Linked DNA regions of Notamacropus eugenii. The protein of the gene in region 1 purifies or fractionates together with the protein of each later gene. This does not show direct contact. Links are inferred from orthologs where the notes say so. Each region holds a gene or a part of one and is shown on either strand. Other genes may lie near its edges. The genes, in order: EN1 and transducin-like enhancer protein 1.

Evidence for each region.
Region 2: the proteins of EN1 (region 1) and transducin-like enhancer protein 1 purify together in Homo sapiens (affinity purification with western blotting; 4 studies listed by BioGRID and IntAct, with this or other methods). This does not show direct contact. The link is inferred for Notamacropus eugenii from reciprocal best matches to the Homo sapiens genes EN1 and TLE1.

Annotation. Positions count from the first base shown.
Region 1 is NC_092876.1:308,203,347-308,218,718, reverse strand, and holds the start of EN1 (homeobox protein engrailed-1), read left to right. Parts: upstream 1-9,164; 5' UTR 9,165-9,241; coding exon 9,242-10,196; intron 10,197-14,662; coding exon 14,663-14,979; 3' UTR 14,980-15,372. UniProt on the Homo sapiens protein: Required for proper formation of the apical ectodermal ridge and correct dorsal-ventral patterning in the limb.
Region 2 is NC_092872.1:72,089,496-72,105,394, reverse strand, and holds the start of transducin-like enhancer protein 1, read left to right. Parts: upstream 1-9,162; 5' UTR 9,163-9,488; coding exon 9,489-9,512; intron 9,513-10,608; coding exon 10,609-10,709; intron 10,710-12,177; coding exon 12,178-12,241; intron 12,242-12,353; coding exon 12,354-12,398; intron 12,399-15,899. UniProt on the Homo sapiens protein: Transcriptional corepressor that binds to a number of transcription factors. Inhibits NF-kappa-B-regulated gene expression. Inhibits the transcriptional activation mediated by FOXA2, and by CTNNB1 and TCF family members in Wnt signaling.

The DNA.
Region 1 (15,372 bases):
AATTGACGACAGGTGGCGCTTTCCTCACGAAAATGGTCCCCCGGGTTCCAGGAAGCCTACTGAACCTCTAGCTGGGAGGGCAGCTGGTGTTTGTATGAGGAAGAGGGAGAAAGTGGGGTTGAAGACGAGAAGAACTCGAAATTGGGCTAGAAATAAAGCAGTCTGGGCCCTCCAAACTTAAGACAGAAATTGGCAACGCCATTTCTACCTCCTCCTTTAAAGGGAGAAAAATAAACAAATACCGCTGCTCATTACAGACTTGGAACCCTTTCTTTGGTTTATTTTTCCTGAGTTGTAGAAAGCTCAAACTTCATCTCTCAAAAGAGCTAATAAACATTATCGATAATGGGTAAGGGTAGGCCTCTCCAAGAACCCTAGAAATATAAATAATCAAAACCTATTAGGAGTTCACCTTTGGTGATTCTCTACCCACTCACCCGCAACACACACCCTAGATGGAAGAGCCAAGGTCAACGTAACCCAGAATTTTCATCTGCCTTTTCTGGCTTCTTCACCTATTCCACAGGACTACCACCCCACCCCCATAGCATCCTACATCTTCTATCTTAAAAATAATCTTTAATAATTTGGGGAGGAAAGAGAGGGGAGGGGAAAAAAACGCAGGAGAGGGGAGAGAGGGCGCTTTTTTCAATTGCTGCAATAATTGTCCGCGAGATGGGTTTCTTAATCTGTTCATACATTATTGACTTCTCCTCTAATATTTGGCTTTGCCGCTTTTATCGCCAGGAGATCACGTACTCGACTCCTTTGCATAACAATTTTGGAGAGGACATCCTCGGAGCTGGAGGGGACGTGACTGGAATGGAGTTGGGACCCCGCCGCCCCCACTCACCCCCACCTTCGGATCTTATTTCCCCTGACCGCCGCTGGGCAGCAGTCAAAGTGCGTCGTTTGAAAGAAGGAGCCTGAGCTTCCCCCAAGATTCAACTCAATCTCACTCTATTCCTCCAGCCCCCTCTTACACAGTGAGATATTCACACACAGTACTTTATGTACTGTGGGGAGAGGAGATAAGAGAAGTGACCCAACTGAGTTGAGCTGCAGGTGGTAACTGATCAGTCCCTGTCGGGGGAAGTTTGATGAGGACATAATGAGATCCGGATTCATAAAATAGGAGAGTTCCACCAGATGTGGACAGTATTTTTTTTAGGTTGCTTTGGAGGACGAGGCACCCATTGGAGCTTAAAATACCAATCCAGGTGAATCCCCAACTCCCCCCCCCCCCCCAAAAGGAGATCTCTATCCTTTAGGAGTTGGGAAAGAAAATCAGAGGGGCCTGTTTTCCTTTTGTAGATATTAATGTTACTCCACCTAGGCCCTAGTTGACTCGATGCTTCGTTGGTTAAATGGGGGTTTAATTGCCCCCCAAAAAGATTCACTGTAGAACAGAGGTCTTTTCTAGGAACTTAGAACTGATTTCCCGATGGAGAGATTGAAACTCGAATCTGGGTATGTTCTCCTAATGGACTTTCCTTCAAAAAAAAAAAAAAAAAGCTTTGCCAGTCTCCCGCAGAATACAATCCCACGCGCACAAGTTTACACACATACATACATACTCACACACATTGTCCTGATCAAGAATAAATTCAGTTGAAGCCTGCGAGAATCGTGCAGAATAGTGAATATCTTTTTGCCTTTAGCTCAGAATTTTGAAGTCACTTTCCCAAGCTGGTTCCCTTCGGATCCTTGACCTTGATGGGCTTGGAATTCAGGGGTCGGGAAGGGGATGGATGCAACTTCTAGGTCCTCAGGTTCTAAGGGTTGCCCACTGTCTATCTTCCCATAGCCTCAAGCTCTTCACTCCGTAAATGGACTTAATTCCCCTCCCCTCCCATATATTCCCCTAATTACCCCGACTCCCCTTGCGCTTTTGTTTTTCTTTTCCAGAAACAACTAACTTTGGAGTCGGATGTCCCCAAAGTTCTGTCGGGAGCGCTCTCTCACCAGAGAGTTCAAAACATCTATAGTTCCAGTGGCAGCTGCAGGTCTGTGATTTGGAGGGTGGGGGAAGTGATGAGTGTGACTTGAGCACAGTAAGAACGCAGGGAAGCTGGAATTGAGGAAGACTGGGATTTTGACCTTTAGTTGATGGGTACCAGTATCTTAGCCACTGGGCTAAGAAAGTGGCTGAAGTCCCAAAGAGCCAAGGCCAAAGTCCTTGACATGCCAGAAGGGTGTGTGTGTGTGTGTGTGTGTGTGTGTGTGTGTGTGTGTGTGTGTGTGTGTGTGTGTGTGTGTGTGTGTGTGTGTGTGTGCGCGCGCGCGCGTGCATGTTGTGTTTCGCCTTTCCTTTTCATTTTCAGTCCTTGACTGCTGTGTCCAGACCTGCGCTCTAGATCTCTGTCTAGGGAACAACCTCCTGGCGTGGAGTGGAGGTGGGACTGGGGAGAGGGTCCTTACTTAGGAGTTGAGGATGGGGAAACAGTCAATTTTAGAAGAAAGAAATTTTTAAAAGCGAGGAAATGTGGAACCCTGTTGGAGGTTTTTAGACAAACGACCGATATTTTTTTTCTTCTGCTTTTCTTTTTCTTCTCTGTTTGATCCCGGGCCGCTGGAGAATGGATTTAGCTGAACATAACAAGAGAGCCCAAGAGGCGGGGAAGGCCCCCTCCCCACGAACATGCACTCACGCATACACACACACACACACACACACACACACACACAAACACACACACTCGCACAGCTCGTGTGGACTACGCACCGCGACTATCCGGCGATCGAATCCAAAGCTGAGACTCGGACAGGTGGGGACACGGACAGGACACCGCTCCCAAGCGGGCTCTGTCTGAACGGCTCTGGAATGGGGTGGGAAAACCGAGTTTTCAGTTGTATTATGAGGTGGGAGGGGGGAGAGAAATAAAGGACAGAAGAAAATCAAACCAGAAGCTGAGTTTTAACTTTGGTTTTAGTTGAAGGAAAGCGGAATTATTTCGACTATCTCGGTCTTGGGTTTTGGACCCCTGGGGTTCGAGCTGAAGAGTGTGACAGTTCTAGGAGCAGGAAAAATAAATAAACTTATCAAGTCACATTTTTTATATATAAAGAGAACGATGGTTACCAGAAGCCCTTAATCCTGGTGTCTATCTCTGTGTTTATCTTTCTGAGACCAGAAAGAGACTTATTCGGGGGAAGAAATCGATAGAAAACGCCCCCTTTCCCCAAATCACAGCGAACCAAGTTTTTCCCGGTTCTCTGTATGAATCTTAAAATGTTTGCATTCGTTAGCCAAAACCTGGGAATGCAGAATTCCTGTCCATCTTAAACACATACACGAGACTTGGGGCAGGGAGGGTGGCCACATTGGAATGAGTGTAGATGTTAGGGGAGATCATGTCCTCTTTCGAATCTCTCTAATTTTAAAAGATGCTTTATTTTAGTGACATTATTTCTTCCCTTTCCAAAGTCTTTCAAAGGCCAGACCTATAAGGGTTTTTTGTATTCTCTTGGGAGTCTGGTTCTGTTCTTGGAAAGGGTGAAAAGGGACAATTATTTCAAACTGTATAGGTACGATCCACTTAGAACCACTTCACCCAAATGGACACGGGAAGGTACTTAGTACTTGGGGTGAAGATGGGAAGTTGGGAAAAATGGGAGAGAAGAGTGGGGAAAAAATCCAACTAAGTTTTAATTACCAAAAAAAAAAAAAAAAGAAACCTCCACCCAATTTATTTAATGGTAGGATATTTCTTTGTAAACTAGTATCCAACTTTCCACGAATATGCACACACGTGTGTACGTTTTACACACACACAAACTTATGGAAATATATTTCATCAAAGCGGACTATGGTCAGCTTACCACAAACAAATCCACCATCACAATTTCTGGGACTAAGGAGGCGTTTTGTTTCCAGGGATCTTTCTCTTTTCTCCATTCTTTTTCTTCTCCTTTCTCTAGACTCACCCCAGCTCGAAGTTTCCAGCAGAACTCCTTCCGGTACCTATTACCAAACGAATCCCCCACCCCCATTATTGCTTTCAAATGAAGACTGAATCCCCAAGCGATAATTGAATTAGTCTATTGAAAGGACTGTCAGGTACAATGACGTGGTTCGAGCCCGCACATTTCCCAAGGTCTATAGGCTTTGGGGACCTGAGATGTATAGTCTGACCTTACAGCTCATAATAATACTGCTGCACTTGTAGTAGAAATCTACTCGCATTCACTTCCAACAAAACCGCTGGTCACCCAGTCCCCGTAGGAAGACTGGAATCTATTGTGTTAGAACAACTCATTTATGTCCTGCACCATAAGGCCCCAATGTGATCTGATCTAGACTCGAAATAGGATTACCACCGTGTATATTAAACACATGGATATACTTCCTATCACACACAGAGAAAGACTGTCGATTTTTTTTTTTACAAATTATTCTTCTCCCCATCTTCAAAAGGAGAAGAAACAAAGTATATACAATCTTGACATTAATTTCTGCCTTAACTAAAAATAAAAATAAAACTATGGTTAAAACGGACACCCTACTTAAAGGAAAGACTGTCAGGAATGCACTCTTACAGCCACACACAAACACACAGGGACACAGACAAACAGACATAACAACACACGCATACTTCTAACAGAAGTCTAAGTAAACCGTGTCCTATATGCGATGGGTGTTGGGCAGAGTGAGGAAGAGAAGAGGAATGGACCTTGCAGATTGTTTTCCTTCAATTCTGAATATCTCCAGGACCCTCTTCACCCCTGGGGCCTTAACTCCCCCAAACTCTTAGCAACATTATCTCCTTGCCCCCCCCCCCCCCACGTTAGTGTTCTCAACCTATATGCACTTACTCCATGTCAATTCCCCAAATTCCTTCATTCAATTCCTACCTTACTTTGGTAAGGGGAATGGTACACTATGACATAATAAAAGACACCTTCCCCCTTAGATGGAAATGGAGGATGGTCTTAGGGGAGACCAAAACCACATGGTTTTGCCAGGGAGAAAGTGAAATATCTACCTTACTTTGGTAAGGTAGGAAGAGAAACAGGTCAGGGATCAGACAAATAGCAACCACAGTGACTTTAAGTCTGTGTCACAGAAGCAACCCTTTTTCCTTAAAAGATGGCAATGGGAAGGGGGAATGGTACACTATGACATAATAAAAGACACCTTCCCCCTTTAGATGGAAATGGAGGATGGTCTTAGGGGAGACCAAAACCACATGGTTTTGCCAGGGAGAAAGTGAAATATCTCTCTTGAGCCCAACGGGAAAGGTTGAATCTATGACCACCTGGTTTATAACTGTCCTTCCCTTCTATCATTCCTCCCTTGTTTTCTGGGGTGGATGGGAGAAAGGGAAGCTGTTGGGAGAGGGGACACAATAGCACCTACAAACTTATCGACTCTTCTAAGATTCAGGCCCCGGGAGGCAGGAGTAGATAGAATAGAAAGTGCTCAGGAGGAAAGAAGCATCTATCTATCTTCCCCCTACCCCCTCCCTCGCACACACACTCAGTGCCACCACCTTTCTCCACCCCTCCCTAGGATCCCCAAATCCGGATTTTCTCTAGAGAGAAAGAGAATTCACATCTCCCGAAAAGAAGGAAATTTCCCTCTACCAAACGTAGGCAAATGGGCCCCCTAAGGAGGGCATCTCTTTACGAGAGAGCACTCTCACCCCCTTCAGGTAATTTCCAATTTTATTTTAATGCACCAGAGTTGAGCCAGAGAAGGAGTTCAGCTTGGAGATAGCAGGGAGGCAGGGCGGAGGTCATGAAATGCAGAGGTGAGCTGGCCGAGCGACAGTCCCGCGCTGGGGCCGCGGCTTTGGGGGCTGGGAGCGCGCATTGTGCTCCACATTGCAGTCGGAGCTATAGGGCCGGCGGTGCATTTATCATCCCATTACTGTAACAAATCCGGGCTCCACTACATGAAAGGTAAAATGAATTACCGACGTTAAGCCGTCAATAAAGTCATTTCTGTAAATGGTGTCTCCAAAGGGCCGCCGCATTATTCAGCTGGCTTTATCAGCAGCCTGGAAATTACGTGGAGGAGTCGGGCCGCGTGGAGCGCGGGCCCCGCTCACTTTGATTAAGCGTCTTGCCAGCGCAATGTGACAGAGCTTTTGACCAGGTTTTTATTCACAGTCCTGTGATGAACGCCAAGCTGATCAGGCGGAATGAAGAGTAATTAAAACCTATAAATTATCTTCCGCAGCCCTTCTCGAGGCGTCTCCTGCAGGCGAGATAACGCGTCGAGACCCTATTTACGGCGCTGAAAGGGACCGCGCTGCACAAAAGCTACGTGGCTAAATAGGATATTGATAGTGTCCTAATTAGAATTTAATTAAGTACCCACGCTCGCTTGCGGGATAAAGATTTCAATTTTGCTAACTTAAATATAAATAAAATCCCACCCCCCATTTTGGTGCCTCTATGTCTGAGGGGGTTGAGGGAGGCACACTGGGGGAGAATGCCCCAATATTTTGTTAGATAGGGAAGCAGAGGGACCCCCCCCCCAAAGGTGAGTGGCGGTGTAATTTGAGAGGCCGGAGTCAGAGGGTAGAAGTCCTTCCGAAGTACAAGGGTCCGAAGTATTCCCTCCTTTTTTCCTCATTCTTTCTCCAGCTCCCAACACCCCGACATCTTTCTCCTTTATTCCAAGGGCCACAGTGATGCCGGCGCCTCCAAAGGGATCCATAGATTAATTGTGAAAATAGGAACAGAAATCAGAATCCCTGAGCTGGGGCTAGCTCGCCTCAGTTACCTCAGTTGTGCCTTGTCTAGACTTGGCATCCTTTTTCATTTTTCCCCCTTCCCAAGTCTTCGTCCCCCAGTTCAGTTTTCAAAAAAAAAAAAAAAAAAATCTAGGCAAAGACTCCGTGTGTGTGTGTGTGTGTGTGTGTGTGTGTGTGTGTGTGTGTGTGTGTGTGTGTGTGTATTCCTGAAGTGACTGTTGCCTGGACCAGGCCTCCAGGAGAAGATGGAGATGAAAGGGGAGAATTGATCAGAATCTTCACCACCCCACCCCAGGGTCTCCAAATAACCTCTTTTCTTCCCTCTCTTCTCCTAAGGGGAAGAGGTAGAAGAAGACAGGCTAGGATTCCAAACCCCTTTCACGAGAAACAATACTCCGATTCTCCGTCTCTCAGGGAAAGGGCTGAGGCAAAAGAGGTAGAATATTACGAGGTGTCCATATGCAGGGAGTGAACCCCCCAAACAGTTCTGCTCTCAAGGAAATGTTAGTAAATTGAGGGACGGAGCTCAGTCTGCTGAACCATCGTCAGAGGTAAACAACTCTATAAACCTTGATCAGACAGAATTCTAAGGGTTTCAGAACATAGTGGATATGATTGGATAATGAACTGGTGCTGGTTGTGGTGCTTAATTTTAGAAGAATTGAAGGAGAATAATTATTCTGTGCCAAAAAAGGGGGAGGGAGAGAGCAAGTATTCGAAATCAGTCCTTTTCTTAAAAAAAAAAATAGCAGAAAATAATTATCAACAAGATTGGCTTTTAGCCAGTGTCCCTATGGTTCAAAGATCTTCCCCCACACCCCCGTCTTCCAACCGAGAGCTTCCCGTTCCCATTCCGTGGTATAAGCGTCTGGAGATTTCCAGGCAAGCAACTTCTTTTCTCCTTGGAGTTGCTGCTGCCGGGCCAGTAGGCTAACTGCAGAGCGGCCAGCTACTACCGATGTTCTTTAGGAGGGTTAACTGTCAAACCCGCTTCTTGTCTTATGCGGGCAAGAAACGTATACTGGGATCTCTGCTATATGCTCAAGTACTTCCAAGTTGAATTTCTTGCACCCCAGTACCTGTGCTGTCTGGCCACGAGTTAACTCGAAAGAGCTAGGAAAAGGAAAAACAGCAAGAAGACTGAGGGATTCTTATCAGACTCAGAAACGGTGCGACAACGTACTGCCTAAACTCGTCCTGCTAGCTTGCTCCAGATAGTTTCCTTGATACAATTAAGAAAAAGGGAAAAAAAATCGATCTCTAAATCCGTATTAAATTAAACCCCTGCTTGATAACATCGGAGAGCAAGTTTCATATCTTTATCATATCACCTTCATAACCACCATTATCATCATCATCACTCATGCTCACTCCAGTCAAATGACACCTTCTCAATTTCCATAGCCGAAAGTAAAAGGGTGAGTTTCTTAGAAGGAGAGGGGAAGGGAGAAAAGTCTTTTCCCCTCGGACCCTGCTTGGCCTGCTGAATATGGACCCTTAAGCCTATCCTGTATGACTTGAAAAAGTTTTTTTTTAAGGAGTTAATTTCATATTTGCCTACATCCCAAATGACATACCCCCCCCCCCCCCCTACACACACACATATACACTTGAGGGGCAGGGAAAAGTTGGAAGCCGGACGTAGGAAGAACGGGAACTTTTGAGAGGGGGTGGTACTGGTGAAGAGTGGGGTGGAGGAATTGCCGAGTGGAGAATGGACGCGACAGGCTGCCCGGCGACTCCCCCTCTCCCCGCTCCAACCCCAAGGATTATTTATCCGCAAAGTTCCAAGCCGACTCATTGGTCTGCGTCACGGGTGTCAGCGAGAGTCGCGGTTCGCTATTGGCCTTTCACACGTGCGGCCCAGACTCACGTGCTTCCGGTTTGAATGCAAAAAGTGTGCCTGGGTGATTTTTTTTTTTAAGAGAGAGAGTTTGTGCAAAGATCGGAGCTGTCAGAGATTTGAAAAAAAAAAAAAAGAAAAGAAAAAAAAAGCCCAGGCGCGGTGGTGGAGACACTCTCTCCCTGCAAAAAAAGCAAAGGCGATTAAAGGCGCTGCCAACCTCGAGCTGTGGGCAAAGCTGAGCATGACACTTGGGGAAGTCAAACCCCTCACTATTGCTTAGGAAGATGGCTAGATTTTAAGGACTCGATTTTTTTTTCCCTTTAAGAAAAAATATTTTATTTGGGGGAGCTCCTCCTGGTGTGGCTTTCCTTCCTAAAAAACAACAACAACAACAAAAACTGAATCTGGTTGCAAAAAGAAATAGCGAAGTGTCTTCATTTCTGGATATCTGCAAATTAGAGAGGAAAACAGATCTGCTCGGTAAAAGAGAGACTGGAGACAAGCGTCTGATCTTTTTCCCCCCCTCTTCTTTTTCTTCTCCTTTTCCCTCTGCTCCCCTTTTTTCTCCTTCTTCTCCTTCCTCTCCTTCTTTCCTCCCCGCACCCCCACCGGCCACTGGCAAAGTGGGGTGGAGAGCGAAGCGGGGGGGAGGGGGAAGGAAGCCGCGTCCGGGGCGGCGGGGCGGCTGAGTATGGAAGAGCAGCAGCCGGAGCTTAACAGTCAGCGCGACTCCACCACAGGCACTGCGAGCCACAGCAGCAGCAGCGGCAGCAGCAGCGGCGGCAGCAGCAGCGGCAGCAGCAGCAGTAGCAGTAGCAGCAGCAGCGGCGGCAGCAGCAGCGGCAGCGATGGAGACAGCGTGCCGGTGTCCCCGCAGCAAGCTCCCTCCTCTCCTGCAGCGCCCTGCCTCCAGCCCCTACCCCACCACCATCACCATCACCACCACCACCACCACCACCATCACCACCAGCCCCCGCCGCCTCCCCAGCCCATGCCAGCGCCTCCTCACCAGCCGCCCCCGCCGCCGCCGCCGCCCCAGCAGCACCGCACCACCAACTTTTTCATAGACAACATCCTGAGGCCAGACTTTGGTTGCAAGAAGGAGCAGCAGCAGCTGCAGCAGCAGCAGATCTTGGTTGGAGCTGGAGGAGGAGGAGGTGGCGGTAGTGCTGCTGCTGGTACTGGTGCTGGTGGAGGAGGAGGAGGAGGAGGAGGCCGAACAGAGCGAGACAGAGGCCAGACAGCGGCTGGGAGAGACCCGGCCAATTCTCTGGGAACGCGGCCGGCCAACCCGGCTTCACTTCTCTGCCCGGCAGATGCGAACTGTGTGACGCCCGACGGCTCTGCGTCGGCCCCGGCCGCCGCCGCCTCCAAAGCTAACCCAGCGGCCGCGGCTGCTGCTGCTGCCGCCGCGGCCGCGGCCGTGGCGGCGGCGGCAGCTGCTGCAGCCGCTGCTTCCAAACCTTCGGAAGGCGGCGGGGGGAGTCCTGGAGCAACTGGCGCTAAATACGGGGAACACGCGAACCCGGCTATTCTACTCATGGGCTCTGCCAACGGCGGGCCAGTGGTTAAAACTGATTCGCAGCAGCCGCTAGTATGGCCCGCTTGGGTCTACTGTACGCGTTATTCAGATCGCCCATCTTCTGGTGAGTACACCCTTTGAAGTGAGTCCTCACTCCCCTCTCCCTCTAGGGTCACTGGTGGACACTCCCCATCCCAACCCCCGCCAAGAGTTCTTAAGAACAGAAATAATAATGCATTTTCCTTCCCCCGTCCCTCCCAACCTATCCTATTCCTATGTCTGTTCCTCTTGCTTCCACTTTTCGCATATTTTATTTGTTGCCCCTTTTCTACGATATCTTCATCTTTAGCCCAGCCTGAAGTTCTGAACAGTTGGGGTTGGCACCGAGGAAGATTCACTATTGAATTCCTAACACTTTAAAGTATTTAATAATAATTTCTTTTTTTCCCTTTCTTTTTTCTGGATTTGACTAAGCACTTGTGTTTGATAAAGATGGGAAGGCCTAGGCTAGAAAGTTCGATTTTTATATGGACAAGATTATAGAATGTGCAATCGAATTTATATACACTAGCAGTATTCTGCAATACTGATGAGAGAGAGAGAGAGAGAGAGAGAGAGAGAGAGAGAGAGAGAGAGAGAGAGAGAGAGAGAGAGAGAGAGAGAAGACAGATTTTTTCCTTGGGTACGGGGAAGGAGGGAAGGAGAGGCCCTGTCGTGGGGCAAAGAAACAAGGGGATTTTGTAGAATAATGTCAGAAAGGAATCACAAGGATCCCCTGGTCTGATAGGAGAAAATAGCGTTAAGATAGTCCAGGAGATGAATCTTAGCTTTTAGATGAAGGAGATGGGGAGGGACAATCTATAGGACAGTGAGAAGATCCTAAGAAAGAGAAGCTTGAGCAGGCCGGAAAGGCCAGCTTCTGAGACTGCCTACTTGCACTGTTGTTTGCCTGTGAAACTCGGCTCTCAAAGCCTTCTGTTCCCGTTAGCCCTCTTTCCTTTTATCTCAGTCAAGGCACAACATCTAACACTCGCGATTGTTTTGAGGTGTTTTTTCCCCCTCCTACACTCCTTTTTTTCTTGCTTGGTATCACAGGGACCTTAGCGTGCTTTCCATTGGTGGGTCTCCCATTTCACTGGGTTGCTCCTAGGTTATTTCCTCAGTGTCGGACATTGGGTCTCTCAACCCTTAGCCTCCTAGTTCCCTTTCAGACTTAGTGGGAAGAGAAGAAGGAATCCAGATCTGCTGGGTTCTCAAATCCCATTCCAGTCAAGCCCAGCCTGGGCTGAGGAAAGAGGCAGAGTTGAGAGTCAGAGACTATTTCTTCGGGTCGGAGCTCAGAACTCTATGAAGGTATCCGGGAGTCTCCCAAATCCCCATTTCCGTTTTCTTCTCCCTTCCCTTCTTTCTTCAGTTCTGTTCCGAATTACTTGGGCTGCAGAGCCAATCGATAGGCCGCTATCAGCCCCAGCCATCTCGATCCCCCCGTTATTGACACGTCCGTCTCCCTGAACCTCTGAAAAGCCGCTTTGATTGACTCGCCTGATGGATAGAGTGATTGAGCTGTCAGGTCGGCTGCTAGGGCTAGCCAGGGAGAAACGATTTTATTGCCTGTGCTCAGTGTGTCCATACACATGCACCAACATAAACTCAGCCTCAGACACAGAAAGCGTTCTAGGCCTCTCTGGCTATGATCGTCCCCTCTCCCTTCACAGTACCAAAAGAAATAAATTAATCATTTTCTCCATCCTCATTTGGGATTCTTCTACCTTGTCTGGGTCAGCATCTTTGCCCTTGGTAGTGGGAGTTTTAGAGCTAGAGTCCCAGTTGTATTCCCTGCAACTTTCTGGATCCTAGGATTATCCTAGAGAGAATGGAGACTTTTGGTTTGTAGTGGTAAGTGGACTTTAGGAGTCTGGTCTCCACTGGAAGAAAAAAAAATCTATTTGCAATCACCTAGAAAGCTTTTCAAACAGGAAGGTTGAACTCCAGGATCCCATCGAAGAGGTTCCAGCCTAACCTAGAACTCTGATATTGTGATACTGTATCCTCTTTCTCTGGGATGAGGAGAGTGGATTATTTTAGAGGAAGATCTCAGACTTGTCCCCAGGACAAGGAATGGCCTGGCTGCCAGGCCCCAGATTCCCTAGGCTCTGACTGTAACCTACAAAAGCTAATGGTGTTTCTTCTTGAGGTTCATTGTGGGGTTCAGACCCCTACTCCATCTACCAGTTGGAGACTAGAGTGTTTTCAAAGCTTCCTTGTTTATATTCCCTTCTGGCAGAATCCAAGCTATGTGGCCTGTTTCTCTTGAAGGTGGCACTCTCACTGGAGTACTCCTCCAAGGCTTTAGGGTTTTTATAAATAGCAAGGCTTTGGTTAGCTAGCTTCTTGGAAAGGCCAGGAGACTTCAACTTCGACTGTTTATCCCTTCTCAAAATCTCCATTTCTAACTTTTCCATCCTCTGTTGCAAATACCCTAGAGAAACAAATATCAGTAAAACTAGGATGAGGATGTAGGTGTACTGAAGCATGGATCAGGTAGAAGGATAGGCCAACTGACAGCTGTGCGTTCTCAAAATCTCTATCTGTCTGTCTCTGTAGCTCGGTAGTTGTCTGTCCTTATCTCTATCCTAATTCCCTGTCTTCTACCGACTGGTAGAGGATCAGCGGAACCTCCGTGTATGAAGAATCCTTGGGCTTGCAGAATATAGCAGCTGGGTCCATGGGGTCTGTGGGTTCTGGCTGCTGTATGCCTATACTCTTGGCCTCTGGATGAAGCCTTGAATTATTTGTAAAAGCTCTCCCCCTCCCCCATTGCCCCTCTCTCATTTGTGTTTTGATCCAGAAATATCATCCAGGGAAGAAAATGTCCAGGGAAAGTGTTATCTTGAAAATGGCAAGAGGGGCTAAAAATTCTGATTCCAATTCCGATTTCCTCGTGTTTCCTTTTTAATTTTCGTTTCGTTACATTTTGTTTCATTTTGTTGGTTGATTTCTTTTTACAATTCATGAAATAAGTAGTAGAGGCCTTAAAAACATAAAAATACCCAAAGTCAATGAATTTCGAAATTGCTAGGAGATGGCCCCTAGCACAGTCACGGAGACCTCTTGTCTGAATAGAGGCAGGTATCCCTTTCCAGAAAGTGAACACTGAAGAGGTGGTGATTTGGGAAGAGAAAGCAATAGGGTTACAGTTTTGGAGCGCTTGCAAAGGTTCACTGTTGACCATGCTGAGTTATCGGTTCCCCTCTAACCTTAGCCGGGACCATGGCTCTTGCAACTGTTCTGGGTGTAAAGTGTGCTTGCAGTCTATTTCCCAAAGCCCATGGCTCTGGCCTCACTTCAGTTGGCGTTGTAGAAACTTGTCTGTAACAGAAGGCATGGAACTTCCTCGCTTTCCGCGGCGGGGTCTGGCATTCCCCAGGGTCTCACAGAAAATAACGGAAAGGAAGGGGGCCTGGGGCACTTGAGCCCAACCGGGCCGGGGTTAGAGCGAAGCTTGTGGCAAATAGAAAAACGGCTAAGGACGGGGGCCAGGCTAAAGCCGTCTATTTCTTGGTCCTTCTCAGGAGACCTTGACCCCGCGGGCTTAATTTTCTCGATCTCTTTGCTTTTCTTCTGATGCGGGTGAGGGTGGGGGCGGAGGAGGTTTCTCTGGATTGGGAGGCCAGAGGTGGGGGAAGGGGTGGCAAGAGCGATGCTGTCTTGGTAAAGAACAGTAGGTATTGGTTTGAAGTCGTTTCTACTAGTATTTATTTTCTCAGTCTCGGTGGAACCGGGATATTGAGATATTGGAAGTTAAAGGAGTGGTCGTGAAGTGGGGGATAAGGGGGACACACAAAGTGATTCGGCTGGGGTTCCAGTTGGGGTGTCAGCTCCTCCTCTTCCAGCTGCCCTGTCCCCTTCCTCATTGTCATGATGGGAATGACTGGTCCCAGCCTGCAGAGTCTGCTTCCATAGGCAGATTTGGGGTTTTCCGTGGGGGAAAGAAGGGAGCAGAAGGAAAGAAAGCTGGGCGGGGGCCCAGATTTCTTTTCTAGCAGTTCCTTTCTTCCTGACATTATCTGCTGTTTCTCTGGTCCCTTGGTTTCCGGGGCCTGGCTAGTTAGAATCTTATTCTCAGGTGAATGCCTTTGGCTCTCCCCTCTCCCCCCATTCTTTTAACTGGTAGTGCTAGCAAGTGGGGGAAATCCTACAAGCTTTCTCTTCCCCTCCTTCGGTCTATATTAGATTGTGGGGGTCCTGCAGCTGTCGGCCATTTTTTTTCCTTTCTCACTCTTTACTCCCCATCAGAAGGAAGATAAGAGTTGGTAATAAGGGACAATTGGTTTGGCCCAGGAAAAATTGCTTCTTGAATGGGGGGGTGGGGTTGGGATACTATGGAGGGAGGGGGACTGCGAAAACAGAAGAGGTTTTAGTAGCCAAGAACTATGATGCACCCCCTTTCACTGATACAATTCACACAGCTGCCTTTCCACCTTCCTCTTTCTCTCCCCCTCCCCCATTTTCTTCCCTCTTTCCCCGTTTCTCTCTGTCCTCTCCCTCCCCTTTGCCTTCCCCTCCCTGGCCTGTCTCCCTCCCATGTAGGTCCCCGCACCAGGAAGCTGAAGAAGAAGAAGAACGAGAAGGAAGACAAGCGGCCACGGACTGCTTTCACCGCAGAGCAGCTGCAGAGACTCAAGGCGGAGTTCCAGGCGAACCGCTACATCACCGAGCAACGCCGGCAGACCCTGGCCCAGGAGCTCAGCCTCAACGAGTCCCAGATCAAAATTTGGTTCCAGAACAAACGAGCTAAGATCAAGAAGGCCACAGGCATTAAGAACGGCCTGGCTCTGCACCTCATGGCCCAGGGACTTTACAACCATTCCACGACCACGGTACAGGACAAAGAGGAGAGCGAGTAGTCACTTCCCCCTTCTCCTCCACCCCCACCCCCTGCTTCACGCTGGCTCCTGACACCCTCCCATACCCACTCTCTCCCCGTTCCCCTCCTCTGGTTCAAACGATTTTTTTTTCCAGGGAAGAAATAATAAACAAAAGAGAAGGGGGGAAAAGACTTCGAACGGCAAGTCATGTTGAAAGAAAAAAAATTTTTTAAAAAGAGAGACTCGGACAGGTGCTTTCGAAATCAGATCTATTCTCTATTAATAGTATAAGGGACGGAAATGCGAACACTTAAATCTCTATATAGCCAAACAGCTTACGACTTTGTATATATTTAATTTCAGGTAAGGACAAAAATATGTGTAGCGATCTCTATTTGCTGGACATTTTATTAATCTCCTTTATTATTATTA
Region 2 (15,899 bases), on another chromosome or scaffold:
ATGGGTGAAACCAGAATGGTAACCAGGTTCCCTTGGGGCTTTTTCTGTCATTGTAATGCAGAAGTTCTTTTTAGTGTTTTCATTTTGCATAATCATTAGTTATTTGGAGACTAGTGAGAAGCACAGAACAGATCTATTAAGTCTTGATTAGTCAGTATGCCTTAAAAGTGCTTGTTTTTCATTATCCCCCACTTCTTACCCTTAATCCACACCTATTGGAAGTATTTTTATCTTGATTTTCTGCATTTGATAGTGCAACTGGAATTTACTTGCTGAAAGGGATCTCCAGGGATTACTTTAGGGGGAAAAAAATGTTCTCCTGGAATTAAAAAAAATTACAAGCATGCTGTAAGGAAACATCTGGCTAGAAAAATATATGGGTGGGGCACCCCAACTTTCATCACTTAAAACTTGTCATTTCCACTGCTCTGCTGGAGAAATATTCATTCATTAGCACACAATCTACACCTCTCAGATTTTGAATAAACACAACATCAGAGTCTAAGATTTAATATGCTCTGTTTTCTCTTCTATTCAACATTAACCTTTAAATCTCAGTACAAGGAGTTATAATCTGTTTTTGCACTCTTTCAAAATGCTGAAGAAAAAGTTAACCCAGCCCAAATCAATTTATTATTTGTTTTACTGAGGGCGAAAAAAAGCCAGCAAAGCAACTATGCAGAGGAGCAGCTATGAAAAGAAAATAAACTTTATTTTCCACTATCTCATGGTTTCCAAATACTTAACATCCAGAGAACTTGTTCTTTCCTTTTATTGTGGATTTGATGGTAATTCTGAACTCGATGCTCCATGTAACAATACACTAAGGGACTGCCAGTGTAAAACCCTGATTTATTTAAAGATTTCCATTTTATATTAGCAGATTACTATTGGAGGTAAAATAATCTGTATAGAAGAATTAAGGAAATGAGCTATGAAAAATCAAAACAATAGAAAGAAACCAAAGAGAAGCCACGGGGCTAAGTGGATGGTTCACCCTAGTCCTTGAAGCGGGAAGACTAGACTTCAAATCCAGCTTCAGATATTTACTAGCTGTGGGACCCTGGGGAAGTCACTTTTTTACATCTGTTTCAGTTTTTCTATCTATAAAATGGGGGTAATAATAGCACCTATACCCCAGGGTTATTGTGAGGATAAAATGAGATCATACTTATTACATGCTTTGTAAAACCTAACCCTTTGTGACTTCATTTGGTTTTTTTGTTTTGTTTTGTTTTGTTTTTGTTGTTTTGGCAAAGATACTGGAGTGGTTTTCCATTTCCTTCTCCAGCTCATTTTACAGAGGAGGAAACTGAGGCAAACAGGGTTAAGTGACTTGGCCAGGGTCACAAGCTAGTAAGTGTCTAAGGTCATATTTGAATTCAGGAAGATAAGCCTTCCAGACTCCAGGCCTCAATTCACTTCAGCACTTCCCTGCCCACTAAAAATGGACTATATGAATGCTAGCTATTATTAAGGTAGCGAACAAAGAGAAGTAATTCAATGCAAGAATACTTGGTTATATCAGTAAGGACTTGAAAAAAACCAAGTTGAGAGTTATTTCTTTTAAATCTTTTTTGGTTTAAAACATTATTAGTCAGTTTTTTAACTAGGTGAATCTAATATATAAATTAAACGGGAGGTGAAAGCCACAGGCCCTAAAACTTTGAGATCTTTGACACCACTCCCAACTTATATCTCTTACTGTTCCTCGGGTCGTCAGGTACATGAGGCAGTGGTATGATGTGCAAGTTCTGGAGTCAAAAGTCCTGTTCCATGCCAACACCTGCCATTTAACGATCTTAGACAAATCATTTAGTCTCTATAGGTCTCAGTCTCCTTATCTGTAAAATGACAGGGTCAGACTAGACAGTTTAAATATTTGCAACTCACTGAATATGAATTTTTTGTGGGTAAGTTCAACCAAAGTTTTGTCTGGTCCCAGAAATGATCAACCATGCATTTTGCATTGAAAGTTTAATGAGAATGTAAGCAAGAACTCTTTACACTTAACAGAAAACAGGCATATCTGTTCAAGGGTGGTTAAATAAAATATTGTTGATCTTCTGGGTAGGAGGCTCATTACATGGAATTCTATGGGCCAAGATCTGCACTAACTTTGGACATATGTAGGCCTAAATTCTCCAGAACGAATGTCAAATGCCTTTCTCTTCTTTTCTTTACTCTGTCTTTCGCTTTTCAGTTTTTGTTGAACTAAATGCTAAACTGGAGAGGGTGGCAGTGGTGATGGTGATAAGAGTGTAGGGGGAAGGAGGACACTGTAGTTAATATCATCAATCTTTGGAATGGGTTTAGAAAAGGTACCTAACTTCAGTGAATCCTACTATTAATGGGCTGTGCAAATGGCATTTTTTTTCCTACAAAGCCCAAATACTGTCCTTGGCTGTCAAGGACATCGCACTTGTAGATGTGGAGAGCCCTGGTAGAAGTGCACTCTGCTTGAACTATTTCAAGAAGACTAATCATGTCTCTGTTCTGTTTGTGTGAAAAATCTTAAATTAATCAGAATATATTAACACTTACAAGTTACTCAGCCATGTGGATAATATGTAAATACGTTTATATTGTTCATATATAGACACATTAAGATGCTGTGATGGTATTTATATCTGTGTGTCTATGCTTATTGCTTATATATACATATTCCTTCTGTTATGATTTATATTTTAAAATATATCAAAAATTTCTCTCAAAGAAGGCCAAAGGATGGTATTCTGAGGCAGTGGTGGTGGTCTTTATTTTATGTTGTTGCCATGGTCAAGTATCTCCTGAAAAGAGATGCCTGGACCTTGAAAATCTTATCAAATAGGAGCCTAGCAGCCTAAAAACTGTCTTTGACTAAAGGGTAAATGGATAATTTCTGGCAAGTTTATTCATCTTTTAAACTGTAAACAAAAGGGTGAGTTGTGAAAACAAACACTTCGTTTTTTCAGAGGCTCTTTCTTCTCAGCTGAATTTCTTTTCTTTCCTCTCACACCTTTTCCCATCCTTAAGTCTTCCTTCCTCCTAAGCTTTGTCTCTTGTACCCAGTACAAGTACTGAAGTTGCAAAGGAGATATTTTTAATTATAAGTACTACAGTAATGAATTCAAGTGTACTCATTTATCATAAAAGGCTTCCCCATCTGCCTCTAAAGTATGCTTTAAAATGTTGTGTATTTGATAACATTAACACTGAGAATTTTCCATCCGTTAGTGCTAAGCATTTCAGATGCTATTTTTTTTTAAGAGCATGGAGGTAGTTTCAGGCAGAAACAGTACATTTATCTGTGTATGTGAGTGCGTGTGGTCTCTTTTCCTAATTTATTTGCACTTCAACCCATTGGGATCAAACTGCAATCCCTGTAGGCAAAGGGAGATTAGGGAGAGGGGTCTCACTTCTCCCTCCTCTTCCTCTAACACACACACACTCACACACACTCACACACACACACACAGTCACACCCCCAGAAGAGAAAGCAACTTCTCAAGTACCACAAGTTCTTCTGGCCACTGTACAAATTGTTCCTGAGCGTGGAGGTTTTCCAAAAGACCTAATTAGCAACTCACAGCAAACATTTCTTTGCATTAGCTAATGATCCGGCTACACTTGTAAGCAAACAGTACCAACATATCTAATCAATGCTGAAAAACCAACCAAATGCCTATTAAACATCTGGATGTAATTTTCTAGTTAAAATAAAATGAAAACATGTGCAGGTTTCTTTGATCTATGCCTTAAAAAAGAAATTGTTGATAAAAAACAATACTGACCAGTCAATGTGTCATTTTCATAAAGTCTACTCGTTTCTCTTCAAATGCTCCCAATTTAATTTTGTTGGTTTCCTGCAATCTCTAATTTTACCATATTGTGAGAAACCACAAGAGATTCTTTGGATCTGATTTTATTTGAGGTTTTACTGCTGCATGGATCTGCTACTGATTTTTTTCAACTTTTCAGTCTTTTTTTCCCCTCTTTTTCTGTCTCTTTTAGTAAAGGAGCATGGTGAGCAAAAGGTTATAAAGTAGTGCTGAGAAAAGTCCTTCTGGAGCCCCTCTGACAGGGTTAGGCTCAAAGAAAAATTCCTAGCTAAAAAAAATTAAATGATGAATAATGAAAGCGGTAACTATTAACTAGAAAGTAGAGAGGACAATGAAAATGGCTTTTTTAAAAAGCCTGACCCCATTATTATTTGTTTCATAAAAAAAGAGGTAATCGTTTTAAGAAGATACATAATTTTTTTGGATTCTATGATTAGCTACCTCAATTAACTTTTTTTTCTCATTGCTCTGCAATGCAGAACAGTGGAATAAATCACAGGAAAAGATTTTCTCCTATTAAGGAAACAATACTATCTAGTATCTGTAACATCTAGTATTCATTTGGACATGTAGTGGAAATACTTGTGTTATTAGTAGGTTGAAGATTTGATAATCAACATGTCAATGGAAAAAAATGTACATGCGCATCTATGGTAAAATGAACAGTACCACAATCCTTTGTTTCCTTTTCTGGAAAAAAAAAAAAGGTACTCTTCGTCAGAAGCTCAGTATTACATGGAAACTGCATTTAATATTTTTATCCATATATTCATACATGAATGTGAAGGTTAAAAAAATTATGTTTAACAGACTTCAAATAGAAGAGTAGAAATTATGAATTTGATAAGTAGGCACTTTCTATTTTTCTTTTAAATAATACTGTAGGCAATCTGCACATATATTATTTATTTAAAACATAAGATTAAAGCTGCTTGATTGTTTAAACACCATCATTTGTAATGCAGTTTGATGAGAGTTTTGCAGTATAATTATTACAGTCTGACAATCAAGGAGAAAATATGACCTTGAAAAGGGGCAGAGCCTTCTATATCTTGCAGGGATGCTGTTCTGAGAAAAAGAAGAAACTGGTGAAAAGTAGCCATCATTAGGGCACATAATTAGAGACTTTCAATTGTAAAAGATAATTTTCCAGAGATAACACAGGAAAAATCTGTAAGTCCTGGTGTCTCAATTGCCATAGGTCAGGAAGACCTTTGTCATTAAAGAAACTTAGAGTTTTCTCCAATATACACAGGAAAACCTAGTGATTAAAAACATTTTAAGTTCATAAAAAATTACAGAACATTATTATGGGGTGGGGTGGAGTAGGGAGAATGGAGGGAAGAGGAGGAATAGAGGGGAAGCAACACTGTTTTTGTTCCTGTTCCAAAATACACTGTTTTAATTTGTCTGTTTATATCTAATTACCAGCTTGTGCCAGCAGGTTAAAATTCACACCAGCCAAAGCTGGGTAAGCAGGTGTGTTGCTGTCTCCCTCACTAGGTATCCTCGTATATGCATGCATATCTATGATATGTTCACATGTTCTGCATAAAAGTGAACAAAATCCTATGAATGCAGAAGAAAAATTGTTCTAGGTAAACATAATGGGATATCATTTGAATATTGTCCATCAAACCAAAGTGGATCTTTGATACAATCACCAGATGTTGCCCTCATGTAAACATCTACATGTCCATAATACACTTAGAGGTATATGTATATGCATATAGGTCTGTATACATATAGTTGCATTTGAAATGTATTTGTCAAGGAGGGGAGGAAGGCTGAATTTATGTGATGACATAATCTGACAAAAATAGGAAGCACTTCCAGCGACTTTATTTTCCATGTAAACAAGACAAATAGCAATGTTTGTGATTATTCATGAGTGAAAATTCCACTTATTTAGTAGACTGCAGAGATAAAATTCTGAATGTTTAAGAATTTACTATAGCCTTCAAATATACAGCCTAAAAATGTTTGTTTTTCATTTATAATTGAAGTTTGAGGCTTGATACAATCATGAAAAAATCAATCTTATAAATGTTTTAAAACTGCAACAGTGAAAGATGTTGCATAAAATGATCCTTTAAATATTTTAAGAAGAATGATCTTTGTAAATGCAAGAATCTTTAAATAAAGTGCATCTGTTTAAATAGCAAATGCTTAAAAAAGACTTGAGTCTTTAAGAGTTTTTAAAGAAGACAATTGGGATAAAGTAGTCATTAATACTAAAAGACTCATTAACTAAATTCCAACATAAGATTCATATTTGTCAAAGAAGTACATTTCCAATTGAAGAATATGTTACCATTTGACAAAGATAACATTCACACATGGGGCATGTGGAAAGACTATAATTTAAACAAAACTGAAAACTCTTTGCAAAATTAAAGCCTTTAAAGTTTGTATGCATACATTTGCGCTGACAGAACTGAAAACTACCAATGCATTCTATTTATACAAAGACCTTTGAGTTGATCTATGAATTCCAACTATGTCACTTACCCAACACTCCCCAATTCATCACCTGAAATATTTCAGTGCTCTTTTACCATAAAAACTATCTGGGGGAAAAACAGGTTTGCCAGTACACAGGGGATGTCAGTACACACTATTTCTTCCTCTCTTTTCAGCTTTTGGAAAGATTATGGTGGTAACTGGGGTGTAAGACTCTTAAGAGTCTGCGGTTGATTCACAACATAGGCTGGTTACAATTTGCAAAACAGGGTTTGAGTTCATCCTAAGCAAGTAGCAGGACTTTTCTGCCGACATGTGTGATTTGTGTCATTAGTGCTTTTTCTAGCCTTGTGTTAAATAAAACCACTGTGGTTTTTAAAAAGTGCTTTGAGATCCTAAAAAATAAAATGCTACGCAATTTCAACGTGGATGTTATACGTAAAAATGCCTAGGAATGCCTTCCACTCTGCCTTTTCAAGTGCATGTGCTACCCTTTCGTGTCCGTGAAAAGGTAACTGTTGCTAAAAACAAACCTGAAAGACATTTTGAAAGTGACCTGGCTTTCAAAGTAACAGTATCAAACGAGTGGTTTCCATGAGGGGGAAAAATGTGCTCTTCTTGAACTACCCTCCATTCCCAATCATAACGAATGGTTTGCCTCACTGGGGTACTACTGTCACAGATATCTGGAGGTTTTTTTAAGTGAAAAAAAGAAAACGATATTATTTTTAAAGCCACACACTCTTATCGACACCGCTCCTCGCCCCCTCTCCCTTTTCTCCCCAGAACGCGCCCGCGCGCTCACTCTCCCCCACGTTACTTTGATTGACAGGTCGGTACTGCCGCTCTCCTTCCCACCGACCTTCCCATCCTCCGTGCCAATCTCAGCGTTTCCCCGCTTCCTATTGGCTGGCCTGGGCGTCCCGCAGCTCCTCCAGGAACGCTTCCTCGCGGAGCCGGGGAGGACGAGGCTGGGCGGAGGGGGCGGGAGGAGAGACAGGGGAGACAGTGCTGATGGAAGAGAGGAGAGGAGGGAGAATGGTGAAGTGGGGGGAGGGGGGGAAAGGCCGAGGCTGGTACTGCGCTGCTATAGGACGTTGGGAGGCGTGTCGTCAGGATCCCACGTTGGGGCTTGGAACGGACGATTGGTTGGGCCGGGACTCCCCTCCTCCCCTTCTCCTCCCACCCTCATCCACACGGACTCCATCCTCGGCTCCTCGCCCCCCTTCCCCGCTCCCCGCCCGCGCCAGGGTGGGCGGGGCCGGCCGCTGGTTAGCTAGAGGAGTGTGAAACCGCGTGTTAATGTTACCAGCGCGAGAGGCGCAGGCGGCGGCGGCGGCGGCGGCGGCGGCTTGAGCAGGAGCCGGAGCTGGAGCAGCACCGCCGGATACATTGTGTCCCGCTTCTTGAGAGGCGGCTGCTTGCTACCCGCTCGGTGCCGCTGCTTTGGCGGGCAGTGGCAGCGGCGTCACCGGACCCTTGGCCGGCTGACCACACCGATTCACCTCGGCCCGGCCCCCTGGTCACTCTGTGACTCTCGATAGCCCTGTGGAGTTTGCCTGATTGCAAAAAAAAAGAAAAAAAAAAGGCAGAGAAGATCATCAGAGCGAGCGAGCTAGCGAACGGGCTTGCTCCGTGGAGTCTTCCCAATCGTACCTCGGTTTATGGATGTTTTCCCCGGGATTCCCGGGGAACTTTACTTGTGGCTGGAGCGTCGATTGTTAAAAGGGAAACACAAAAAGGGCGGGGGGTGCCAGGGGGGAAAAGGAAAAGAAAAAAACCCATAAAGGATTAGCAGCGGCAGAAGGCAGCAGGGCTGCGGGGCCGTGCGGGTGTCTATGAATGTGGAGATGCTGCGGCGGCGGCGGCGGTTGCTGCATGGGTGTGTGTGAGTCGCTCCCCGATGTGCTCCAGGCGCGAGGAGGCGGCGGCGGCGGCGGCAGCAGCTGGGAGGCTGCTGCACCCGGGAGGGCTGCACCCTTCTGAGTAACTGAGAATTGCCCCAGCTGGTTCGCCTTTTCTGCTACTAGGATTTCTGTGCAACGGCCAAGAAGACTGTTGCCTCTGTCTACTACTGCCACCCACCACCTCGTCCCCTTGCTTCGGCTTGTTTTAGTTGGGATTTTTTTTTCAGTCTCCACTCCAAGACTGCTTGAGTGCATATGCTGCGTGGCCACCCCCTCCTCTCTTGCGCTCTGTGTCTCTGCACTTTCCTTGCATCATTACCCTTCTCTCTGTGGTTGCTGGTGATCACTTGGCTCGGAGCCTCCACCCCGGGCTCTGTGTGTGCGTTGTGCGTGTGTGTGTGACCCCACCTCCTCCCGGGAGCGCCTTTGAGGCTAGCCGGCCCGAGTACGGATGGGTACGTTTATATGTGAGTGATCCTCGGCTCCCCTTTGCACCCACCGACCCCTGTCTGGGCGGCGTGGGGTGACAATTCCTTACAGATTCGCCTCCTGGCTGCCCTCCCTGGATATCGTCTTTAACTCAAGAAGTCACCCGGCTTGCTCAGGGGTTTCCGGTCCCCTGATTGTTAGTTTGTTTTTGTTGGGGGGTGGGGCGGCGTTCTTTTGCCACCTGCAAGTTGGCCCCCCACGGAGCAAGGACGGGTGGGGGGGAAAGACTGGATTGATTTGCCCTGGACCTGCGCAGCTCGCGCATCTGAGGGGAGTGGTTGGTGGTGGGGGAGTTAACCTTGGTCCCGGCTTTGGCCGTCGGGGAGGAAGACCTGTGCGTCCACCCTCTCTCTCCCACCTCAGCGCCGGAACTGGGGGATTCCATTGTCCACCTCGGGTCCGTTTCCTTCTTCCCGAAGCCTAGAAACTCTCCTCTTCCCTCCCCCACTCCCCGAGGCCGGGCGGGAGACGTTGGCCCCAGTGGGAGGTGGGGGCGGTGAGCAGGAAGAGAGGGAAATGTGGCCCTGAGCTCGGGGCCCGGCCTTGGGAGCCCAAGTGGCCCAACTCCGGCTCCGGTCCTGCCTGGCTGTTGTGCGTGCGTGTCCGTATGTGCGTGTAATGTCAGTGTCTGTGCGCGCGCGCTTGTGTGTGCATGTCTAACGCGCACCCCCCCACCCCCCACCCCACCTCCTCTCGCTTGGATCTTCTTTCTTCCTTCCTGTCTTAATATTTCTCGGCGGGATTAAAGTTGGAAATTGAGCGGAGAATTGAGCTGCCCAGGAGCAAGGCAGCGGCTGCCGTCAGAGCGATGTTCCCGCAAAGCCGGCACCCGGTAAGGAGCGGCGGGGCCCGGGGGCCCTGGGCGTGTGCTTGTGGAGGGTGCATGTTGGGGGGGGGGGGGAAGTAGCCGAAGGTTTGGAGGCTGGGGGAGGCGCTGTTCTGGGGTTGTGCCCTGCCTTTGCCCCACCTTCCCCCCGCGGGGTTCGAGGCTGCTTAGGTTGCCTTCTCGGAGTTGCTGGCCCTGTTTTCCGCTTTGGGTGCGGGGGTGGGGTAAGAGTGGTGGAAGATGCCGTATGGGTTTTGTTTTGTGGTGGGTTTTTTTCTTTGACAAATAGAGTGGAGGCAGAAATCCTCTGGCTTTTTTCCCTCTTGGCCACCTTCCCCTCCCTCCCCCCACTTTTAATTCCCTTTTTAGCACCTCTAAAGGCGGCAGGCACATAGGCTAGCGGGGCAGAGGGACGGGGACAGAGAAGCTTCTTACATTTCTTCTCCCCATCCCTTCTGTTCCCACCTAAGGGAGGAAGGTCTTTAGCTCTCTCTTCCCCCCCCCCAACCTCCAGTAGCTGCCCCCCCCTCAGGTCCCCCTTTGTTCACTATCTTATTTCCATGTCAATTGCAGCCCTGGATCTAGTGGGGCCAGGGCTGGCCCGAGTCCTCTTAGGGGACTCTGGGAACTGGGAGGATGGGGCTGGGGTGTCTGTTACTCCGCTAACCTCCCTAGGGCTATTATCTTTATTGCCTATAGGAGGGGCGGGCACCCATCTTTAACGCCACCTTCGCAGGCCCTTTAGGAGCAGGGTGCTACTTCGACCTGAATTACAGGGGCATCCCCCATCTGTGTCCCCAGGAGTGGGACGGGGAGGGGCAGGGGTAGATTTCCTACCTCGCTTCTACAGGCTCTGGGAGTTTCGGCAAACGGGGTGGGGGCAGGGAGCGAGCGTTGCCGTCTGCCTCCCCTAAAGTAAACTGAAAAAACAAATTAGTTTCTTTTTGTACCTGTGATAGCTGGTAACTTTTGTTTGGGTTTTGTCTCACCTCTCTCTCTCTCTCTCTCCCTCCATCCTCTCCCCTCTCTGCCCTACATTACCTCCCCCCCACTTTCTCTTATTCCTGCACATCTATGCACACCCATCCCACACCTCCTCCAGACGCCGCACCAGGCTGCAGGTCAGCCCTTTAAATTCACCATCCCGGAGTCCCTGGATCGGATCAAAGAGGAGTTTCAGTTCCTGCAGGCTCAGTATCACAGGTGCGTGCAGTGGGAGCATTCAGTCCTGAGCCGACCCTGGCTGGCCCTGCCCTGGGGTTTGGATGTCAGCGTGGAACGTCTTGGGCTTGGTGGGGGTTGGGGGCTCTGGTTTTCTGTTTCTCCCTGTCTTATCCCTGGGGTGGCAGCTGTATTTAGTACTTGTGTCCAGGCGGTGGCGTGTGGAATCACAGTTAAAACCTGTCATTCACTTTCCCCCTCTTTTTTTCCCCTTCCTTGGCTTTTCTCAGTCCTCCTCTTTTTTTTCCCCTCCTCCTATTGTTTTGGCGTCCTGTTTGCTGCTGTTCAAATGAACTTTTTTTGTGTGTTTTGGAGTTAACATGAGAACCGTCAATATTTGCCCTTCATGTATTTATTTTGCAACAGGCTGAGCTGAAAACACTGGCTCAATCAATGTCTTAGTCTTGGAATGCAGGGGACAAATGCAGTGTTGAAATAACTATTTGGTTATGTTGGGGGATAGAGTTGTACAAAGCAAAGTTCATGGTGGAAAGATTACTCCTTTTAAACCTTTAGAGTTGTTGGGCCATTTACATTGAGGTTGACTTTGGAGATCCCCAAAAATAAATAGAATTTCAAGTTCCCAATCTCAGAGCCCCATTGAACTGAGGCTTCTGCATATGAAGTTCATCATAGCACTTGAGTACAAGTGTAGACTTACTGTCCAAATCAGTGGGAATTTTAAACAGTGGAAGAAACACTGATATTGTGGCTTGCTCCTTAGCTTAAAAGCCAACTTCTAACCGAGGCATTAGCTTTTATTCTTTAGAGATAAATGCCATCACGGTTTAAGTTAGTTTCAGCAGAAAGCAGAGGCAACTTATAAATTACCATTTTAATAGGGAATGTGAGTGGATTCTTTATTGTTTTCAGGAATGTCCAATATTCTGTTTAAGGCATGTATTTTCTTATCACACACTTCCAAGGCTATACCTATGTCATTGGTTATCTGATGTGATGTTTTAGTGTGTTTTAAAGACTAGGGTAAAACTAGTTGACTGTTAGGGAATAGTAATTTTTCCATTACAATTTTAAAAACTTAGAGGGATGTTTGAATCCACTGAGTCAAAACACTCAATATATGTTGTTTGAAGTTCAAGTTTCTGTTCAGAGGGTTATCCCACACCACGAACCTAATAAAAATTTAACTAGCCATGAGTTAACAGATGATAAGACTACTGGTTAGTTTGAGGACCTGACTTATTTTTTTACCCCGTACCTGGGATTTTATATACCCTAAGAATGAATCATAATGGAATGAACTGCACATAGAATTCATTTTACTTGTATTCTCTATTAAATACAAGGACAAAGCTTTTGGGTGTTTACTTTGATAGTTTATAGTTTTTCTAAATTGGTCTGTGTTTTTACTTGAAGTGCAAATATGTGAGGCAGATGTTAAAACAAGTGACATAATGTTTACATGAAGTTGCCTGTTTTGTTTTTGTAGCCTTAAATTGGAATGTGAGAAATTGGCGAGTGAAAAGACAGAAATGCAGAGGCATTATGTGATGGTAGGTATCAAAGATTTATTTTATTCCTTTTCACATACCATAACAAATATATTTTTTTAGTAGTACTAAATATGAGTTAATGAAACTTTTCTTTCCCTTTTTTTCTTCACAGTATTATGAAATGTCATATGGGTTAAACATTGAAATGCATAAACAGGTAAGATTTTAAAGTAAATTCCAAATTGAGACCTTGAATCAGTTTATGGCTGTAAATCTGGCATTGCTTTTGGGTAACAGGTGATTTAAAGCCATTTGTAGGTCTCAGTTGCCCAATTTATCATAGAATCACAGACTTACAGTTAGAATAGCATTTTAGAAATCATCCAGTTGGCAACCTCATTTTACAGATAAGGAAACTGAGACCCAGAAATGCTTTGCCCAAAGTTCACATTTGAATCCACTTCTAAGATGATCTCCACATCCAGCATTCTTTCTTCTGTACCACACTTTGTTCTGATAATTACTTGGTAGAAGTTCTGCAGCTCGTTATATTTGCAGAAAAATTTAAATTACTAGATAAAAGGGATATGAAAATATAAGTTCTGTTTACAGGAAGATAAAAATTGACTGTACTTTAATGCGTGGATAGGCTTATGCTTACCATTTGAATGTTATAGGTATATAGATACCTTGTCATTTATATGTTACAGGTATATAAATCTGAACTCATATACATAGTGTTGAGTCATAGGACTAAGAGTCAGTGTGGCAGAGTGGATAGAAAGGTCAGTACATGGGTTCAGATTTGGCCTCAGATACCTACTGGATCTGAGTGTAAGTCATTAGATTTGTGCATCTGTAAATAAGGAATATAGCTATAGTCCTTGCCTCCCAGGATTGTTAAAGATTATATTATTTAAAGCTCTTTGCAAACCTAAAAGCACTAAACAGATGTCAATTGACGTAATAATATTATAGCGTCTAGAGCCTGAGGGAACCTTAGATCATTTATTATATTTTTTTTAGGAGAGAGAATGAAGGGCCATGGGGCAGGGCAGTGACTTGTTCAGAATCACACAGGTGGCAAACAACACATCAAGGCTTTGAAGTCGTACTTTTTGACTCCAAATTCAGTGGTTTTCCTACTACAACTTGTAGATATGGTTGAGTAAATTGTGTAAAAAGAGCTGCTTTTCTTTCATTAATATGGAAAAGGCATATAAAGAACTATGTAGCAAACACTGGTTTTCTTTTGTAGTTTTGTGGCAATGCATAATGATACCAGTTCAGTGGTTTGTAGGTAAACATAACTTTAAAAATAATTTGGTAGATGGCGTCTTGAATCTGGGAGGAAAAAAAATTCTTTTATGAGAGTAGCATATGTTGATAGTAGCTGAGTTTCCTAGTGGTTTTAAAAGCCTGGAAAGATTAGTGACTGGGAAAGCTCTGGTTATGACTATGAGTTTGCAAGTTCCCATAAAATTCACACTTATGGCTACTATAATGGTGAATAAAACGAGTATTGAACTGGAACAAGGCACTAAGGACCTCATAAGAGAAGAAAAGCTAAATGATTGCTGAGCCCAAAGGACCCTCGATTGAGTAGTCATTGTCTGCCAAAGAAAGCATTAATGGCAGGGTGTAAGTATTCGCTAGATATGCTGACGTTCACTTTTTCATCAGGAGGCTGGTACAATAAGTCTTTCAGAAATCGATTGCCTCTTAAAAAAAATTATCATTAGATGAAGTTGCACAGTTGGACACATTTCAAAGTGCAACAATACAATTCTTGCTTGATGTATATGTGCTATCTCATCTAAAACTCTTGTTTCATTAAATTAAAGAGCGTGGCTGACCGACTAGGGCACAGGGGCGAAATTGATTAGTTCAGGCTTCAGATCTTCACTGTATTCACAGACTTTCATTAAGCAAGTGTGTTTCAGAGCTGAATTCTGCTTTTGTAACTGAACCCTTTGATTCTTTTTAATTCGTCGCAGATTTTGATAATGCTGAGGTATTGTTTTGGAAATCCTGTTTTCAGCTATGTTTGGGAGGAGACATTATAATTTTCTTTACTTAGACTATGATTGTATTTTTAAGTAATTTTCATTACAGCTTTTTTCAAAGTAAACTTTGTTTTTAACGTGTTCAGGGTTATTTGGGCTTTTTATTGTTATAAATAACTACTCCCTTATCCAAAGGGATTGTAAACTTGGTGATCATACAGGTCAGAAGGAGTCCTGGTTAAGTTTGGGGGTCTTTTGGGTGGGGTAGCATATGAGAATTCACAAACTTCTGCCACAGAGTTCTAACAGCTTGCCAACTTAATTTTTTAATGGCATTAAAAGACCAGATTTCTATACTGTAAGGAATGGGTAATAAAAGGTTGAGTTTTACTTTGAACTCATGAAATCAGAGGAATTAATAACTCATAGTGCTCCTGGAGCTCCTGTTTTCCAAAAACGTAAGGTCTCTATGCTCATGGGTAGATTTATTGGAGAATTTAAAGAATAGGTAGTAGTATTATTTTTGTAAACCATGCTTAATTGCATGACCTTTCCTTTTTCCTTAAAAGAGAAAGGAGATAAAAGTGTCAGAAGCATGTGTGTGGTAGGGATAAGAAATGTGTTTGGAAGTAGAGATCTGTCCCTGTGCATGTGTTTCATGGGCAATTAATTATGTGTGACAACATGTGTGAATATTTTGTCTACATATGGGCATATATTATTTGGTGTATTTGTTGTAACTAGTTCAGTGATTTGAAGAATGTGAAAGGTGGGTATGCTCTATATTTTTTAAATAGCAAAAGTCTTAAATCCTTTTAAATTCAGTTTGTATTGTAAATGATGACAGACCCTCCACTACAGTGGTGCAGGGTTGGGCTCTGCTATGATTCAATGTTAAAGTGGCCTTACATTTAAAAAAAAAAAACCACCCTTCTGAATGTCACACATTAATAAGAAGTTCTGAGGAGGCATTGGGTAGCTAGTAATCATAATTCTTATTAAAACCGGTGACGTCTAGCCCCTAGGGTGTAGCCAGGCTCAAATTGATGCTTTTTTGCTGCCTGATCACCAGCGTGGCCTAAGTGCTCATTATGTTGTAGAGAGGCCTTTGGAGCTCTCATTACGTTTGACAGGAATTCTCTCTAGGGGGAAACTGGGCATTAGCTAGACTCCTGACAGGCTGAAATTATTCCCGCTTTATGGCTTATAACCAAATGCTAGCAAGGCATCATCAGGGGACACAAAAAATTGTCATTTCTGACAACATCTTTGTTCCTGAAAAATGCAGTGATGGGGAAACTTTCCACAGAGCAGGCTTTAATGTTCTTAAGGCTTGTTTCCTGTGTGAGAGACTGCTTCTCTTCCCCTGTTGCTTCTCCCCACCCCCTCCCCCTTTCAGTGGGTTTGTTGAATTTTGTATTCTCATGTGTCGTCATACCTCCACATCTCTGGCAGTTTTTAAATGGAACTGTCATCCAAATCAAAAATGGTCTAATTGTGGTTTGCCTACTTGGAGAGACTTGGTTTGTTGTATATATTCTATGTTAATCATGTTCTAACACTTTCTCCCCTCTTTACTTATTAGTTTTTAATTGATTTCAATAAATTCATAAAGCCTGAATTGCTTTGCATTCTGACTCTTTTGATATTAAAAAAAGTATTTCATGCCATATTTCTGTTATAAGCATAAGGAAGAGCTCTCAACATGAAAT